Danio rerio: one gene and its partner. The protein of the gene in region 2 purifies or fractionates together with the protein of the main gene of each other region. This does not show direct contact. Links are inferred from orthologs where the notes say so. Each region holds a gene or a part of one and is shown on either strand. Other genes may lie near its edges.

Region 1 (9,923 bases), on a different chromosome or scaffold from region 2:
TGTTTTGCGCAATGGATGCCAGATGCAACCCATTACTGGGAAATACCCATACACACTCATCCACTAGGAACAATTTAGTGTATTCAATTCCCCTATAGCGCATGTGTTTGGACTGTGGGACACCCGGAGGAAACCCACGCCAACACAGGGAGAACATGCAAACTCCACACAGAAATGCCAACTGGAACAGCAGGGACTCAAACCAGTGGCCTTCTTGCTGTGAGGCAACAGTGCTAATCACTGAGCCATTGTGCCGCCAGTCTATTAACCAGTATGAGAAACTGATCTGACCTCTTTCCATCAGATTCCTGATCTCCTCTGCAAACAGATCATTGGTGACTGAGAGAAGCTCATATTTGCCGTCGGGGTTTGCAGAGATTTCCTCCCCAGATCTCCACTGCTTACTGGGATACAAGAAGTGGCTTGGAAACACAACAACAGCATTGCTTTAGTATGATTTCGATATCCAGTTGAAGTCAGAATTATCAGCCCCCCCCTTTACGTTTTTTTTTTCCCTAATATTTCCTAAATGATGTTTAGCAGATTCAGGAAATGTTAACAATATGTCTGATAATATTTTTTCTTCCGGAGTAAGTCTGATTTCTTTTATTTCAGCTAGAATAAAAGCAGTTTTTAATTTTTTAAACACCATTTTAAGGACAAAATTATTAGCCTGTTTAAGCTATATATTTTTCTCGATAGTCTACAGAACAAATCATCATTATACAATAACTTGCCTAATTCCCCTAACCTGCCTAGTTAACCTAATTAACCTAGTTAAGCCTTTAAATGTCACTTTAAGCTGTATAGAAGTGTCTTGAAGAATATCTAGTCAAATATTATTTACTGTCATCATGGCAAAGATAAAATAAATCAGTGATTAGAGATGAGTTATTAAAACTATTATGATTAGAAATGTGTTGAGAAAATCTGCACTGCTAAACAGAAATTGGGGAAAAAATAAACAGGGTGAATAATTCTGACTTCAGCTATATATATTTGTTTTTTATCCTGGGGTCCGTTCTTTGTACCTCACTTAAATGATCTAAGATGATTTGGCAGATCCTGGATCTTTTAATCTCTATGGCTGATCTCTGGCTAATTTGGTTCTTCAAACAAGTTCGCGAATCAGATTAGAATGTCTGGATAAACTGATCTGAGATCGCTGCATGTGTTGTGAAGGACAGATCTATGTATCCTCGAAATCATGATCAGCAAAGCAACGATTGGCTGATGGCACAGCAGCGTAATGACATCATCCGATTTATATTTGATTATCCATGTGAGCAAAATGACATCAAATTAGCAGTAAACGGTTTGATAAATATGACACGCATCAACTTTCCACATTTGTTGTGGACTGCAGGCTTTACTCTTTCATGTGTCAAGAGTATTCATCATATCAATGTATTTAGTTCTACATTTAGAGAAGATTTTCTTCATTATAGTAGCCTATAGGCCTACTCAAGTTTTTTTAATCGGCGCAGGCAAATAACTGTATAAATTAATTTTGCATCAAAAAAACATTTTGATATCGGTAAAGGTGCAGGCAACTTTTGCGAAACATCAAATCAGCGGCATATTAGCGGTCAAACACCTCCATGACTGCATAAATTATTATCCTTGTTTTTTTAAAGTTGAATATTGTGCGTGTACGCGTTTGTAACTAAAAAGATCATATCAATAAATTTTTCTCTTTGTACTTTTATTTCGGAGTGCAGATTACATTGTTTTATTAAAATATATATATTTTTTACTTATAGTTAAAAAATACATGTTTACTATTTTCCCAAGTGTATATATCTACTGTAAGAAATTATCAGCATTCAGTACATACTTTCAGTATTACCTTTGCTTGTTTGCTTTGCTAATCCTGTTTATATTAATTGAACCTGCACCGATGCAGGTTTGAGCTATCAGAACTGTTGCTATGACAACAACTCTCAGGTCAGTATTGAAGAACGAAACGATCCTGGATCGTGTCAAATCGTCAATACCCAAATCCAGCTAATTGAGTAATCCACGTACGAAGAACGAACCCCTGGACTGATAATATGCCTGATATATAAAATTAATTGTCTATGTTTACCTTTCGTGATACAGGCTGGCGATGACGGCTAGTTTGTTGGTCCTTGACATGACCAAATGAGCATTTGCCAGGACCATCAAACTGTCCAAACATGCTGAAAGGGTGAACTGAAGGAAAATAAATAACAAGTTATTTGTTCACCTGTATTGGTAATAGCGATAATAGTGCAAACATGGTGGATTATAGTGAATAAACAGTTGCTGCTAGAAGGGAAACAGCTGCGGCCAGAAGTTTAAATGAGAATTTATTATATTATTTATGTAATAATGACCTATCAATTGTATTTTATTAACATCTACTTAAACCCCAACCCACACAGTAATGTAAACACCGTAATTATACAGAATATTATTCATGTTACTTATGTATCAACATCCTCCTCACCCCAACACTAAAACTACCTGAAAAGTATTCATTACTGTTGTACAACAGTACACTCACCGGCCACTTTATTAGGTACATCTTACTAGTACCAGGTTGGACCCCTTTTGCCCTCAGAACTGCCTTAATCCTTCATGGTATAGATTCAACACGCTACTGGAAATATTCCTCAGAGATTTTGCTCCATATTGACATGATAGCATCACGCAGTTGCTGCAGATTTGTCGGCTGCACATCCATGATGCCAATCTCCTGCTCCACCACATCCCAAAGGTGCTCTATTGGATTGAGCTCTGGTGACTGTGGAGGCCATTTGAGTACAGTGAACTCATTGTCATGTTCATGAAACCAGTCTGAGATGATTCACGCTTTATGACATGGTGCCTTAACCTGCTGGAAGTAGCCATCAGAAGATGGAGACACTGTGATCATAAAGGGATGGACATGGTAGGCTACAATACTCAGGTAGGCTGTGGTGTTGACACCATGCTCAATTGGTACTAATGGACCCAAAGTGTTCTAAGAAAATCTCTCCCACACCATTACACCGCCACCACAAGCCTGAACCATTGATACAGGGCAGGATGGATTCATGATTTCATGTTGTTGACTCTAAATTCTGACCCGAACATCTGAATGTGTCAGCAGAAATGGAGACTCATCAGAGCAGGCAATGGTTCTCCAATCTTCTATTGTCCAGTTTTGGTGAGTCTGTGTGAATTGTAGCCTCAGTTTCCTGCTCTTAGCTGACAGGAGCGGCACCCGGTGTGGTCTTCTGCTGCTGTAGCCCATCCGCCTCAAGGTTGGACGTGTAGTGTGTTCAGAGATGCTCTTCTGCAGACCTCGGGTGATTATTTGAGTTACTGTTGCCTTTCTATCAGCTGGAACCAGTTTGGCCATTCTCCTCTGGCATCAAAAAGGCATTTGTGCCAACAGAACTGCCGCTCACTGCATATTTTCTCTTGTTCAGACCATTCTCTGTGAACCCTAGAGATGGTTGTGCGTGAAAATCCCAGTAGATCAGCAGTTTCTGAAACACTCAGACCAGCCTGTCTGGCACCAACAATCATGCCACATTCAAAGTCACTTAAATCCCCTTTCTGATGCTCGCTTTGAACTGCAGCAGATCGTCCTGAGCATGTCTTGAAGCCTAAATGCATTGAGTTGCTGCCCTGTGATTGGCTGATAAGAAATTTGCGTTAATGAGTAGCTGGACAGGTGTACCTAATAAAGTGGCCGGTGAGTGTATAATGACGGGAGTAAACGCAGCTGTATCTCTTATAGACTTTACCTAAAATAAATTTAAATATTAATGAATTAATATTAAACTGACCTTTGGCTCCCGCTGCGCCTGCTGACCCCACCACACAGGATTCACATCCAGCACTATGACCAGAATATTAATATCATCGTCTGCAAAACATCAGCAAGCGCTATTATTATTATCATCATCATCTTTTGTATGTTTATTGTTGAAGCATCTTCATCTTCTTCCTACACAAAGAGAAACCCGAGAGATCGAAAAACCGTTAAACGTTTCATTAATGGTGTTTGTGTGATTTACAAACCCGAAGCCATTGCTGCAATTCCGGCGTCTCTAAATTGATATAAAACTGTATTTCTTTGCTGTTTTCTTCAATATGTTGAAAGTTGTGCTGTTTGGACTCATGCTTAAATCTTCTTCTGTTTATTTAATGGAGAGATTGAACTCAGTGTAGCGCCACCTGCTGTACTGGTGCAGGAAAAAAAATATCATTTTTTAATTTTCCTTCTTTATTTTATTTCGTTTTATTTTATTTTTGTTTTATTTTTATATTTTTTTTACTGTATTTTATTTATTTTTTATTTTATTTTTGTTTTATTTATTTTTGTTTTCTTATTTTTATTTTTATTTATTTTATTTACAATCCTTCGGCCTTCTAATCACAATATTTAGTTTAGTTTAGATTTATTTTCTTTGATTTTATTTTTTTAATTTTTTTATTTTTGTTTTATTTTATTTATCTCATTTCAATTCATTTTTTTATTTTAACTAATCTTATCTTATCCTATCTTATTTTACTATTATTTTTTATTTTTCATTTTTTTTACTTTACTTTATTTTATTTTATTTAACTTTTTTATCTTATTTTATTATTTTATTTTATTTCCTTTTACTTTTTATCTTATTTTATTGTTTTATTTTATTTAATTTTACATTATTTTAATTTAATTTTATTTAATTTTATTTAATTTTATTTAATTTTATTTTATTTTATCACTCTTTTTTTATATTATTATTAATATTATTATTTTATTTTATTATTATTTTGTTTTATTTTACTCACTATCCTCCGGCATTCCATATGCAATATTATATTTTATATTTATTTATCTTGCAGAGACAACTAAACTTTTTTTTTCAGGCACCGAAATTAAACTCTACAAGCTCACAGTTTGTATATGTCTATACTTATAACATTTAATTTTATTATTTTACTTTGAAAAAATATATATATATCATTAGCAGTATATTATTATGCATTCCGTATTGTGTTCTATTAAGTTACGTTAATTAATGTATTTCCTACTCATTAAAGTACTAAATTTATTCCTTATACACACAACAATTATTAATATAAATTAATTTTAGTTCTTTTTTGTACTAATTTATTTATATGCCGTAATAATATTTTTAAAAATATTCGATTCGATTGATAATTATTTTAATTGTGTTATTATACAGTTTGAATAACCCTGTAGTAGAGAATTAAACAAATGATCCTGCTGTTTTTCTGCTGTCCAGCAGCGGCGCTACATGAAGCGACTGTTCACTCGACATAAAACAACGAAGAAGAAGAAAGTGAGCATGTCCACTTGTTCACTGTAAATAGCCTTTCATTTGAAATACACTAGAAGAATAGATGTTATTCAGTTTCTGAAAGGGATCGTATGAAATAAATGGGTAAAGCAAGCATTACTTTGTAGACAAACTTTAAACAATTCGTCGTACTGGATGTCAGAGAGCGTCATGACAGATCGTTGCATCAGCGACACTATCATTATTAGCTCGTGAAACTCAAAACTTGACAGATCTCTGAGAGAGAAAGTGCTTTTAAAATGGAGGAAAGAGGTGAGTTTGACAACAACACAAGACAGAACACACTTAATAATTATTCAGAGATGATTCTGAGTTATTTGCGTAGCTGCTTTGCTTTCCTGAGCATCTTATATTACATTTTGAATTATATTATGATCAATTATGTTGATATGTTGGTTGGTAACGCAAGGCATTTGTGCTTGTTTTCGACCTGTTTGATTGACACACATAATATCAATAATAATTGAGAACATTTCGTGATTCCACGTGTATATATGTATAGCTAATGCATTATGGGAACATCTAAAGACTTTGTTGATCAGGAGATTAATAATATTTCATTTATTTAATTATTTAAAGGTGCAAGAGTCATGATGTTTACACAGATGATTATAGCTGCTCATAGTGTGTGTTATAAAAGCTGTTCTTTATTAATTTTAGGGTTTGACTTTTTTGTTCACTCGCTATTTAATGTCTGAGTAATTGTTAAATGTTGTTAAATGTTTCAATGTTGTTAAATTGTTGGTAATTGTAGTTATTTGTGGTCAAAATTATGAATAGCTTTACTATACTATACTGTAAGTCTAACATTTTACCAAAAGGTTCAGTTTATTATTAATTAATTCATCGGCTAGTACTAAAGACTATAAACATAATTATAAACATAATTATCTAAAATATATTTTACACTTTATATGAGTTTAGTTTTATACTGTATTGTTATCCAGCAGAAGTTTAAATACAATTTCAGTTAGGTAATTTGAAGTTAAGTACTTTTCTTACCCAACACAGCTTACTTTCACCAAACAATTCAACAGCGAAGGTACAGAATTACAAAGACAAAAATGCAAAACGTTTACATTTATACCCTGATATTTTCAGATTGGGAATTAAAACAATTCAACAGTGGAAGTCAGTAATTTATTTGAATATGTATTTCTCTCTTCCAGAACTGGTGGAGTATTTCCGTGGGCAGATCAGGGAAGATCCAGATGTGGCTTCAGCGGTGGCTGCGATTCGATCACTGCTTGAGTTCCTGAAGAGGGATCAGAGTGAGTTTGTGCTGTTTGATTTTCGGCTTGGGATGTGGATGTGAACTGATGCTTGAAATAGATGTGAACCGATGCTTGATGTGGATGTCAACTGATGTGAATTGATGCTTTATTTGGATATGAACTAATGTGAACCGATACTTGATATGGATGTGAACTAATGTGAACTGGTTCTTGTTGTGGATGTCAACTGATGTGAAGCGATGGTTGATGTGGATGTGAACTAATGTGAACTGATACTTAATTTGAATGTGAACTGGTTCTTGATGTGGAAGTCAACTGATGTGAACCGATGGTTGATGTGGATGTGAACTAATGAGAATTGATACTTGATATAGAAGTGAACTCATGAGGGTGTGAACCGATACCTGATATAGATATGAACCCATGCTTGATGTGGATGTGAACTAATGTGAACTGAAACTGGATAATATAGATGTGGATCAATGTGGGTGTGAACCGATGCTTGATTTAGATGTGAACAAATGTGAACTAATACTTGACATAGATGTGATTGTAAACCGATGCTTGATGTGCATGTGAACCGACTCCTGATGTGGGTGTGAACTGATGCTTGATGTGGATATAAACTAATGTGAAGATATAATTGATATAGATGTGAACAGATTCTTGATGTGAATGTGAAATGATGTGAACTAGTTTGAACCTATGCTTGATTTGGATGTGAACTAGTGTGAACCGATGCTTGATGTGGATGGGAACTAATGTGAATCGATACTTTATGTAGATGGGAACTGATGCTTGATAAGGTTGTGAAATTATGTGAACTAATGTGAACCGTTTCTTGATTTAAATGTGAACTAGTGCGAACTGATGCTTGATGTAGATGGGAACTAATGTGAACCGATGCTTGATTTGGATGTGAACTAGTGTGAACCGATGCTTGATTTGGATGTGAACTAGTGTGAACCGATGCTTGATGTGGATGGGAACTAATGTGAATCGATGCTTGATTTGGATGTGAACTAATGTGAACTGATGCTTGATGTAGATGGGAACTAATGTGAACCGATGCTTGATTTGGATGTGAACTAGTGTGAACCGATGCTTGATGTGGATGGGAACTAATGTGAATCGATGCTTGATTTGGATGTGAACTAGTGTGAACCCATGCTTGATGTGGATGTGAACTAATGTGAACTGAAACTGGATAATATAGATGTGGATCAATGTGGGTGTGAGCCTATGCTTGATGTGAACTACTGTGAACTGATGCTTGATTTAGATGTGAACTAATGTGAACTAATACTTGACATAGATGTGATTGTAAACCGATGCTTGATGTGCATGTGAACCGACTCCTGATGTGGGTGTGAACTGATGCTTGATGTGGATATAAACTAATGTGAAGATATAATTGATATAGATGTGAACAGATTCTTGATGTGAATGTGAAATGATGTGAACTAGTGTGAACCGATGCTTGATGTGGATGGGAACTAATGTGAATCGATACTTTATGTAGATGGGAACTGATGCTTGATAAGGTTGTGAAATTATGTGAACTAATGTGAACCGTTTCTTGATTTAAATGTGAACTAGTGCGAACTGATGCTTGATGTAGATGGGAACTAATGTGAACCGATGCTTGATTTGGATGTGAACTAGTGTGAACCGATGCTTGATTTGGATGTGAACTAGTGTGAACCGATGCTTGATTTGGATGTGAACTAGTGTGAACCGATGCTTGATGTGGATGGGAACTAATGTGAATCGATGCTTGATTTGGATGTGAACTAATGTGAACTGATGCTTGATGTAGATGGGAACTAATGTGAACCGATGCTTGATTTGGATGTGAACTAGTGTGAACCGATGCTTGATGTGGATGGGAACTAATGTGAATCGATGCTTGATTTGGATGTGAACTAGTGTGAACCCATGCTTGATGTGGATGTGAACTAATGTGAACTGAAACTGGATAATATAGATGTGGATCAATGTGGGTGTGAGCCTATGCTTGATGTGAACTACTGTGAACTGATGCTTGATTTAGATGTGAACTAATGTGAACTAATACTTGACATAGATGTGATTGTAAACCGATGCTTGATGTGCATGTGAACCGACTCCTGATGTGGGTGTGAACTGATGCTTGATGTGGATATAAACTAATGTGAAGATATAATTGATATAGATGTGAACAGATTCTTGATGTGAATGTGAAATGATGTGAACTAGTGTGAACCGATGCTTGATGTGGATGGGAACTAATGTGAATCGATACTTTATGTAGATGGGAACTGATGCTTGATAAGGTTGTGAAATTATGTGAACTAATGTGAACCGTTTCTTGATTTAAATGTGAACTAGTGCGAACTGATGCTTGATGTAGATGGGAACTAATGTGAACCGATGCTTGATTTGGATGTGAACTAGTGTGAACCGATGCTTGATTTGGATGTGAACTAGTGTGAACCGATGCTTGATTTGGATGTGAACTAGTGTGAACCGATGCTTGATGTGGATGGGAACTAATGTGAATCGATGCTTGATTTGGATGTGAACTAATGTGAACTGATGCTTGATGTAGATGGGAACTAATGTGAACCGATGCTTGATTTGGATGTGAACTAGTGTGAACCGATGCTTGATGTGGATGGGAACTAATGTGAATCGATGCTTGATTTGGATGTGAACTAGTGTGAACCCATGCTTGATGTGGATGTGAACTAATGTGAACTGAAACTGGATAATATAGATGTGGATCAATGTGGGTGTGAGCCTATGCTTGATGTGAACTACTGTGAACTGATGCTTGATTTAGATGTGAACTAATGTGAACTAATACTTGACATAGATGTGATTGTAAACCGATGCTTGATGTGCATGTGAACCGACTCCTGATGTGGGTGTGAACTGATGCTTGATGTGGATATAAACTAATGTGAAGATATAATTGATATAGATGTGAACAGATTCTTGATGTGAATGTGAAATGATGTGAACTAGTGTGAACCGATGCTTGATGTGGATGGGAACTAATGTGAATCGATACTTTATGTAGATGGGAACTGATGCTTGATAAGGTTGTGAAATTATGTGAACTAATGTGAACCGTTTCTTGATTTAAATGTGAACTAGTGCGAACTGATGCTTGATGTAGATGGGAACTAATGTGAACCGATGCTTGATTTGGATGTGAACTAGTGTGAACCGATGCTTGATTTGGATGTGAACTAGTGTGAACCGATGCTTGATTTGGATGTGAACTAGTGTGAACCGATGCTTGATGTGGATGGGAACTAATGTGAATCGATACTTTATGTAGATGGGAACTGATGCTTGATAAGGTTGTGAA
Region 2 (9,863 bases):
ATCAAACACACCTGAACAAGCTAATCAAGGTCTTAATAGGTATAGTTGAAACACAGGCAGGTGTGTTGAGGCAAATTGGAGTTAAATCCTGCAGGGACACTGGCCCTCCAGGACCGAGATTGGTGACCCCTGATATAAACTATAGAAAGGCGGGATGGTGGCTCAATGGCTAGCACTGTCAACTCACAGCAAGAAGGTCACTGGTTTGAGCCCTGGCTGGGTCAGGAGGCATTTCTGTGTGAAGTTTGCATGTTCTCCCTGTGTTCGTGTGGGTTTCCCACACAGTCCAAAGACATGCGCTGGTGAATTGGATTACCTTAATTGACAGTAGTCTATGAGTGCATGTGACGTGTGTAAATGAATAAATGTATGGGTGTTTCCCAGTACTGGTTGTGGCTGGAAAGTCTTCCTGTGTAAAACATATGCTGGAATAGTTGGTGGTTCATTGATAAACAAGAAACACTTTCATTCATTCATTCATTTTCTTTTTGGCTTAATCCCCTTATTCATCAGGGGTCACCACAGCAGAATGAACCACCAACTTATCCAGCATATGTTTTAGGCAGCGGATGCCCTTCCAGCTGCAACCCAACAGAGGGAAGCACTCATAAACACTCATTCACGCACATACACAGACAACAGACAACCCAATTGACCTATATAGTGCATGTCTTTGGACTGTAGGAGAAACCGGAGAACCCGGAGGAAACCCGTGGGAACACGGGAGAACATACAAACTCCACACAGAAATGCCAACTGACCCAGCTGAACCCATAAATCCACATTTGACCCAACACTGACTGAATTACTACAACCCAACATTTTTTAGAATGTATGTTACAGATTCCACATGCAGAACAACATCTCAACATCTCCTTCCGCAGAATTAGATATACAACAGTGTTTGATTGAATGTTTAGGCTTGTTTTGCAGTGCACACATCTGTTTCAACCAATCTACTTTCAATGATGCACATCACCAACATTTCGTATCATTTCCCTCCCACAGCCCAAACCAAAAGCAGATTTGCTTGCTTAGCTGGACATAAAAATGTAAATGAGAATGCTTGTTTTTGCACTCTGTTTGTGATCATTTAACGTGACCCCACAGAAATTGCAGCGGTCCGTTCAGGCAGCACACCAGATGTTAAACCAGGGTCATGTAATCCATATGAGATTTCTCGGGTTATCCTTTAAAAAAACAAGAGATTCACTTTACAAAAGAAGAAAAGATAAGGTGGCCAGAGTTTTGTGCACTGTGAATCACCAACAGTAACTGTTAGGAAACATAGCAAAGGTGTGAGTTTATCACACAAACACTCTAAGCTTTAACACCAATATTTCTTTAGCTTTAACTTTTCTTTCTGCTTTTTATTTTTTTTCTAAAGGAGGCAGCCTGCCCTGTTATTCCAATGTTTCTTCTGCAGGCAGCGACCAATGAAGCTCATCTCCTGTCCAGAGAAAACAAAGCTAAGCCACATTCCCAGAGTTCAATTTGCTGTTACATCGGAGGTCTGTGAATTGGGGTTTGGGCCATGCCTGTTGACTGAGGGGATCTGGGTGGAGAGAAGAGAAGACTTTACATTCTGACTGTGAAACTGGACGTTTAGTTCTCTGTGAACTTTAGGACAAGGGAGCTTTGTTGATGTGGGAAGCAAAAAGCTATTATAAAAATGTGCTACAGTAAACGTTCCTAAATAGTTACTAGGTACAGCTGTTATTACTGTAATAAAACCATAATAAAAATTGGATGTTTCAACATTCGGTATTGTTTCTGTCAGTTTATGACATTGATTTTTTTATGACAGTGGCAAGTAATACCGCATTACCACAATTTATTATGATTATTTTATTTTTTTAGGAGTGTTGGATGCTACGAAGATGGAAAACGAGTTGTTAAAAGCAGTGTTTATGACATAATCTTTTGTTGTATTGATATCATTTTCTTTTATATTACCTGCCTGCTCTACCAAACTATTGACCATATTTTGACTCTTTTAAATGATGGTTTACATACACAGCATTGTCGGTTTACAAAAAAAATCAAACACACATAATCCTGTTGCACTACTTCACTTGATTTATTTATTTATTTTTTTTAAAGATGTATTGGCCTTTTTGCCTTTATTAGATAGGACAGTATTGAGACAGGAAGCAAAGTTGGAGAGAGAGAGAGGGGGGTTAGGGTAGGGAAATGTCCTCGAGCTGGGATTCAAACTCAGGACGCCCTGATATGCTACTGCACCATATGTCGACACTCTAACCACTAGGCTATTATGCCGACTACTACACTTGATTTTGATTTTATTGTAAAAACAAACAAACAAAAAAACAAGAAAATGTTTTAAATCAAATCAAATTAAATCACTTTTACTGTCACATCCGCAAGTGCACTATGATGAGTGAAAAGCTTAGGTGCTGGCTCAAGACCCAGACCCAAAATAAAACAATATACTATTAGCAATGTTGACAGTAATATGTAAAAGACAATAAATACATGATTGACAGTAGGTTAAGAAAGAGCCACATAGACAAGTACACAGTCAAAAAGGTGTGCACATAGTTTGATAGTTTGACTGTCAAACTATAGTCAAATGAAAATTAAAAATCTAAAATATTTTATGGCAGACTTCAAAAAATAAAGATGATTTAGTATTAAAATAGTTTTATTTTGATTATGTTTTGAAAAAAATTGTCTTTTACAATTCATATATTCAGATTTTTCATTCAGATTTTCATTTACCATAAACCGACATGTCTACTATTTGGTAGAGGTTGACTTTTTTTTTTTAATTATGGAACGTGTTGAAAAAATGCATTGAGTGTTTTAACTAGAGACATTAGTAGTTAAGAAATGCTATCCAAAAATGTTTTTCTTGGTGGGGCAGTTAAAGGGTTAAACATAATAGGGTGAGCCTAAAGTTGGACATTGCCTAATGTGGGACACCTATGATATATAAAACTATTAAAAAAAAATATCTGGGTATTTTATGCAAAAGTATTTTTAAAATAAAACAAAACATGAAGGAAGAATAAATCATATTTAACTATCTTGTTATATTAATTAAAAAAAAAAGTATACCATAGTGTTTGTTATCGTCATTCATTCATTCATTCATTCATTCATTCATTCATTCATTCATTTTTTTTTGTTTATTCCCCTTATTCATCAGGGGTCGCTACAGCAGAATGAACCGCCAACTTGTCTAGCTTATGTTTTACACAGCAGGTGCCCTTCCAGCTGCAACCCATCACGGGGAAACATCCATTCACATGCATACACTACAGCCAATTTAGTTTATTCAATTCACCTATAGCGTATTTCTTTGGACTGAGGGGGAAACTGGAGCACTGGGAGGAAACCCACGCCAACACGGGGAGAACATGCCAACTCCACACAGAAATGCCAAATGACCCAGCCAGGGCTTAAACCAGTGACCTTCTTGCTGTGAAGCGACAGTGCTAATTACTTAGCCACCGTGTCTCCCAGTTTGATATAGTATAAAATGAAAAAAAGCAACAACTAAATACTTTATCATAAAATTCAATATGCCCATTCAACGCATATTTTTAATAAACCTGCTAAAATGCCCAGTAAATGAAATTTTTTTCTGGAAAATTAATACTTATGAGCATGACTAATACATTATAAATGTATTGTCTCGATTTAACACATTTATTAAAATTTCAACATGTCAAATTCTTATCAATGTTTTTGAAAACCATGAATATTAAATACAAAGAAGAGGGCTGGGCAATAATATGCTACATAATAATTTTACAAAGTTTAGACTAGGTAAACTATTTGTATAGCTGCTTTGAAACAATAATTATTATGAAAAGCTCTATATAAATAAACGTGAATTGAACTTTACAAGCAAAAATTACAAAAATGGAAAACAAATAGCCTCATTCACAATCTGAATCATCTATATAACAACAATAGAAGAATACGTATCCAGTTCATTACAAACATATACCCAAACTACATCAAATCAAGATAAATACAAGTAATAATCGAAATTATCATCGAAATCCTCAGGCTTTCTCTTTCTGCTTCACACAGAGGAACCAATTCTCTCTGCGGAACCAAAGTTAGAGTCGTGTTTTCCGTCCGACGCATTTCAAAGTAACGGTCTTATGTCATTATACAGAAATCTTGATAGTTTTTTTGCAGACAGCCAGAGATTAAACATTGTGACAGTTTTCACTTGTTATTAAACTTTTCATTTATCTAGTTAGAAACTCTCGGTTTTAACAGAACTTATTTGAAGACGGCGAGGCAAGCCTGATCCATATGAACGTCTGCTACAGTGCTGCAGCTTTCACGTGCACGGACTCGATACTTTACACATTATAAACATTTGATAATAAACACAGGTAAGTCGACTGTGTGTGTATTTCTGAACTCGTCGATAAATAGTAGCTTCAGAAGTAGTTATGTTTCATCGTGCGGCTCAGCTGACGAATGTAGATGATGAAATGAGAGTCCTGACAGGCGTAATGTCTTAAACATGACAAGGAAATACATATATTGAACATAATACTCCGTCTGTCACTTTGCTGGATTGTTTTGTTGTTAGTGTTGTTGTTGTTTGTGGACTAAACGTGTTGTTTTGTTCTGCAAGTGTTCGGGATGGAGCTACAGGCGGTGCTGATGGCAGCCGGTGGAGGCTCCAGGATGATGGATCTCACCTATAACACCCCCAAACCTCTGCTTCCTGTGGGCAACAAACCCCTCATCTGGTACCCCCTTAACCTGCTGGAGAGAGTGGGATTTGAAGGTAAACCTACTGTCTTATCAGATAACAAAGTTCATTAGAAGTGTCACCTGCTGAGTGTATGAGGTGTACAATATTCAACACCGTTATCTAGTAAACTCGGCATTTAACACACACTTTTTCATATTGTTATTTTAGATTTTGTAATTAGGGTCTGCCTATAAAGATTGTGTTGGTGGATATGACTGATATGCTCTGCATTTTTTGGTCATCTGTAATACAGTATGGGTTCAAATGGTATTCAAATATCCTCTTTAATTATTATAGAGCAGGGCGATTAATTGAAAAGTAATAGAAATCGACATTCAGAACCTATAATCGATCAAAATTTTTCTTGTCAATTTTTTTCAATTACTTTCCCTACAGTGTGTGGAGTCACGTTAGCCTACTCTGTTAAGCCTGATATATACTTTTGCATTGAACGCATGGGTATGGTCTGGAGCAGCTTTTAAGTGGACGAATACTCGCGCACCTCTCGAAAAATGTAACTACAGATCGCACATTTGCATTACATTGACGATGATTGGAAGCTGCATCAGAGAAGCCTTGAGACAGCGTATTTTCTATTACAATAAAATTATTATTCACATTAAAATATTTGTTTACAGACGATTCAAGAAATACAGTTTAAAATATTAATAACATGATATACAAAAGTTGTTACATTCTGAAGAGATTCTGCTTATTTTCTTTTTAAAACATTGAAAATAATTGATTTTGTTTTCAAAAGTGCAAGTTATTTGTTTTCACTTTTTTATAAGAAAATAGTGACTGTTCGTTTTAAGCAATGTGTGTTTTAATTTCAAATCACTTTTACTGTCACATCATCAGCAGTATGTGTGCTATGATGAGTGAAAAGCTTAGTTGAAAAAATTTCAGTTGTTCAACACTGATGTTCAGTAAATAATCATAGATAGTAAATATCTTAATCAAGTAAAGCACCGTTCATTCAAAAATCTCTCACTTGTAAAATGTGAGCATATTTACTGTACAAAACCTGTCAGTGAACTATGAGTTCAAAAAATCGAGTTAAAATGTTCAGTTAATTGAGATTGAGAGATTATTTTTATTTTTATTATTATAAAGTAGGTTTCATCTGTAATTCAATCAAACAATCACCTTACTACAATCACCAGTAAAATTAAATTACACATTAAAACACAGACAATGACGAAGAACAAAATCAAAGCAATGATGTCAATAAAACAATCATACTAATTTAAACTGCTGAACATCAAATGCTATTCTAAGTAAATGGGGTTTAAGTTTAGCTTTAAGTAGTGCTGCATTTGTGATGGTGTGTTTTTTGGTTATTTATATTTATATTTTTAGGTTATATTTATTATTGTATTTTTTTTCATGCGAATTAAGTAGGGCTGCACAATATATAGTTTCAGGATCAATATCGCAATGTGATCATTCGCATAAGTCACATCGCAAGTATGTGTAATGTTGAGTCTGGATTATAATGTAGCTTATTGCAAGTGTTTTTTGAGGCCTACGACTTTCAGAGGCTTTTAAAGGCATGAGAATATTTACCATTTGCAACTCTCAAATATTAATAATGATTAATTTTATCGAACTGTTTGTAAAATAAATACTTTGCACTATTATCTTACATTTGAATATTCAATTATTTTATACCTGATGACATTTTAACTTTTTAAAATAAAATTCAGTTTATTTAATTAGCATATTTAGATTTTTGAATTTATCTATGCTTGTAGATTGTTTCTTATATTTTATGCACTCTACTACAGAATTATCCCAATCAATCTGAAATTATAAATTCTTTCTAAACAGTTATTCTACTCATCTAGTGAAATTGTATTCATATCGCAATATATATCGTAGAATAAAAATTTTTTTGCAATGCAAAATTTTTCCAATATCGTGCAGCCCTTGAATTAAATGTATGTATGTATGTATGTATATATATATATATATATATATATATATATATATATATATATATATATATATATATATATATATATATATATATATATATAAATATATACACACACACACACACACACACACACACACAATAACCATCAATAGCCCTTTTCCAATATCGTGCAGCCCTTGAATTAAATATATATATATATATATATATATATATATATATATATATATAAATATATATATACATATATATATATATATATATATATATATATATATATATATATATATATATATATATATATATAAATATATACACACACACACACAATAACCATCTAATAATCATTTGCAGGTTATCGCTGTTAGTTTACTTAGAGACTGTAACAGTATAATTTTCCAAAACTTGCACATTAATAATTCTCTTTGTTCCAGACACTAGGTTCAATAGTACAAAAGACCTTAAAAAAGACAGTTATGCCAATATTTCATTAAAGGTGACTGAAAATGCACTTCAGTAAACCCAGAATTTATCAACAACATTAAAATGCTATTCTGAGAATTTCTTTCACTAGTTAAATGATAATAAGATGAGATCATGAGAAATATTTTATGTAACAGTCTACATAACAGATCTCACAGTTATATCATGCACTCTGTAAAAAAAACTAAAAAAAGCATTCATTTAGCTGACTCATTGTTTAATAGCCAATTGGAAGCTCTGCTTGTAAATAGCTCTGAATGGATTTGCTGACAAGGGATTGGATGACATTATTGGAGGTGGGCCCTTAGAGAGTGGGTGTGTGTGGTGGACGATAAGTCAACAAAATTGCTTACAACACATTTAATCTGCAGGTGGTAATAATTTGTGCAGGCTGCTTAAATTGAACTAATAAAGTCCTTATTTCCTAAATAGGGAAGGTAGGGTAGTTTTTACAATTGGCTCACTAAAATGGCTTGGTTTCCACGTTACACCCACCCGCACACATGCTGCTTCTCCGTTTTAGTGTCAAGACTTTTTTATTTTTTTTTCAGAAAACAGGAGCTTGATTTTAGAACTAGATCTTTCTAGTTTTGACTGCAAATTTTGAGTAAAAGGATGTACACTACCCGTCAAACTTTTGGGATCAGTATGATTTTTAAATGTTTTAAAAAAAGCTTATCCTGCTCATCAAGGCTGCATTTGTTTAATCAAAAATACAGTAAAAAATTGTACAATTGACAAAATGTTGTTGCAGTATAAAATAACTGTTCAAATAGAGTAAAAAATTATTTAATAGTTTAATCCAGTGAATTTAAAGATGAATTTTTAGCTTCATTACTCCAGTCTTCAGAGTCCCTCACGTGATCCTTTAGAAATCACTCTAATATTAATTATTGTTATTATTATTATTATTATTATTATTATTATTATTATTAATGGTAATAGTAATAAAAGCAACAACGTTGTTGGGCGATGTTAACCAATTTGGCATCATACGATGTCTAATGTGAAATTGCAATGGACGATGGCATCCCTGAATTGAGTATTTATGAATAATTAATTAATTTATAACAAATAAATTATTTGTAGCCTACCATTTCAACTACCTGACCCGCATGGTCTTTGTTTTTACTCATATCCAAATCATGAATAAATAAAGATAAATTACACACAAATTACCACCTGTCAATCACTTTTTCCACAGGACTCTGGCATTATAAAGGGGTTGAAAAACTTGGTTGGTAAAAAAAGGTGCACAACCAACTGAAACCAACCAACAGTATCTGAGGTTTCGCTAAAATTACCAAGTACAAGTGTAAAAGTGAAAGATTGAAGCAGTGTACTGATGCTGTGACACGTTACCTGAAAGATTTAAAAGACTGAAGAGTCGTTAGATGGAGGCAAGATTAATTCAATATTACGTTTAAGAGTGAGACGCGATCCAGCAGTACATCCTTGATAACCTGTCTGTCGTGCACTGCTTTCTGGGGTTCTGTGCTCAAAGCCCCCTTTGACTGCCTGGAGCTTAGACTTGCGCATACACTGCAGCTCATGCCAGAGTGTGCGTGTGTTTGTGGTCACGTATGTGCACATTCAGTGGTATAGGGAGATCTGTTCAGAAAAGCTAGGTGAAACGCTAGTGTGGACGTGGATTGTTTTCGTTCTAAAATGCCATTTTAAAAGTAAGAATTATAAGTATAAACGGGGCCTAAATATGTATTTTTTGTGAGCGGGTTGCTGCTGCGACGGGGGCGTAGCAGAGGATCGCAATGCCGGCTCAGCATCGTGATGTCTATCAGCCATCGGGATAGATGAAGGCACCGTCTATCGACCCAACCCTACTACATACAATAAGTAATAAATAAATATTTAATAAAGTATTTTACAATTTAACAATTGTCGTTAGATTTAATAAATGTCACCTTGATGAACAGAATAATTTTATTTAAAAAAAAAAAAAAAAAAAAAAACTGACCCCAAACTTTTGACCAGTAGTCACTCTACAGAAGTAACATTTGTAACTATTGCATGTGTTTAAATGTACAAAAACTGTGTACAACTAAACTGATAAAAGACAAATTAAATAAAGCCAAGGTATATTCAGCATAGCTTTTTTTAGGCTGGAAGGACACTGAATGATAATATACAATTACACAATTGCAGTAGTCAAATGCACCCCAGACAACTAATGCTGGCCCGTTCCAACTGTAATAAATTGACTTCAGTCTAGTACTTGAGGACTAATGGCAGAGTGCCTTATTCTTTAAGCCAGCATTTTTTTCCCACAAACTAAGAAATAAGAGCCTTTCAGCAGGCCCACCCTTATTTTGGGGCAGCATAGCATGGAGCAGTATATTGTTTAATAAAGCTAGTAAGGACTAAAGTTATTTAAATGTAATGATTCAAATATAAAATGAACAACATTTTAAATAAAACAAATGAATATGGTGTTACCTGTTTAATTAACTTTAATTTATAAGTTTAAAAGATATGTCATTTTGACTTTTTATGGCAGGACATTTTGCCAAAAATGCTGATTTATAATAAAAAAATAAATAAAACCAATTTGAATTAAATGTAAATAAAATGTGCAATTTAAAATGTATTTTCATTGACATTATTAATAAATAAACATATTAAACATTAAATAATCTACTTTTGGATTTTCTTTTTAAAATGTGTTTAAAGAAT

What was found.
Region 1: the proteins of eif2b3 (region 2) and eif2b1 purify together in Homo sapiens (affinity purification with mass spectrometry; 7 studies listed by BioGRID and IntAct, counting the BioPlex papers as one, with this or other methods). This does not show direct contact. The link is inferred for Danio rerio from reciprocal best matches to the Homo sapiens genes EIF2B3 and EIF2B1.

What each region holds. Positions count from the first base shown.
Region 1 is NC_133180.1:75,664,880-75,674,802, reverse strand, and holds the start of eif2b1 (translation initiation factor eIF2B subunit alpha), read left to right. Parts: upstream 1-5,282; 5' UTR 5,283-5,569; coding exon 5,570-5,582; intron 5,583-6,499; coding exon 6,500-6,601; intron 6,602-9,923.
Region 2 is NC_133177.1:37,039,284-37,049,146, reverse strand, and holds the start of eif2b3 (translation initiation factor eIF2B subunit gamma), read left to right. Parts: upstream 1-4,119; 5' UTR 4,120-4,379; intron 4,380-4,627; 5' UTR 4,628-4,635; coding exon 4,636-4,783; intron 4,784-9,863. UniProt on the Homo sapiens protein: Acts as a component of the translation initiation factor 2B (eIF2B) complex, which catalyzes the exchange of GDP for GTP on the eukaryotic initiation factor 2 (eIF2) complex gamma subunit.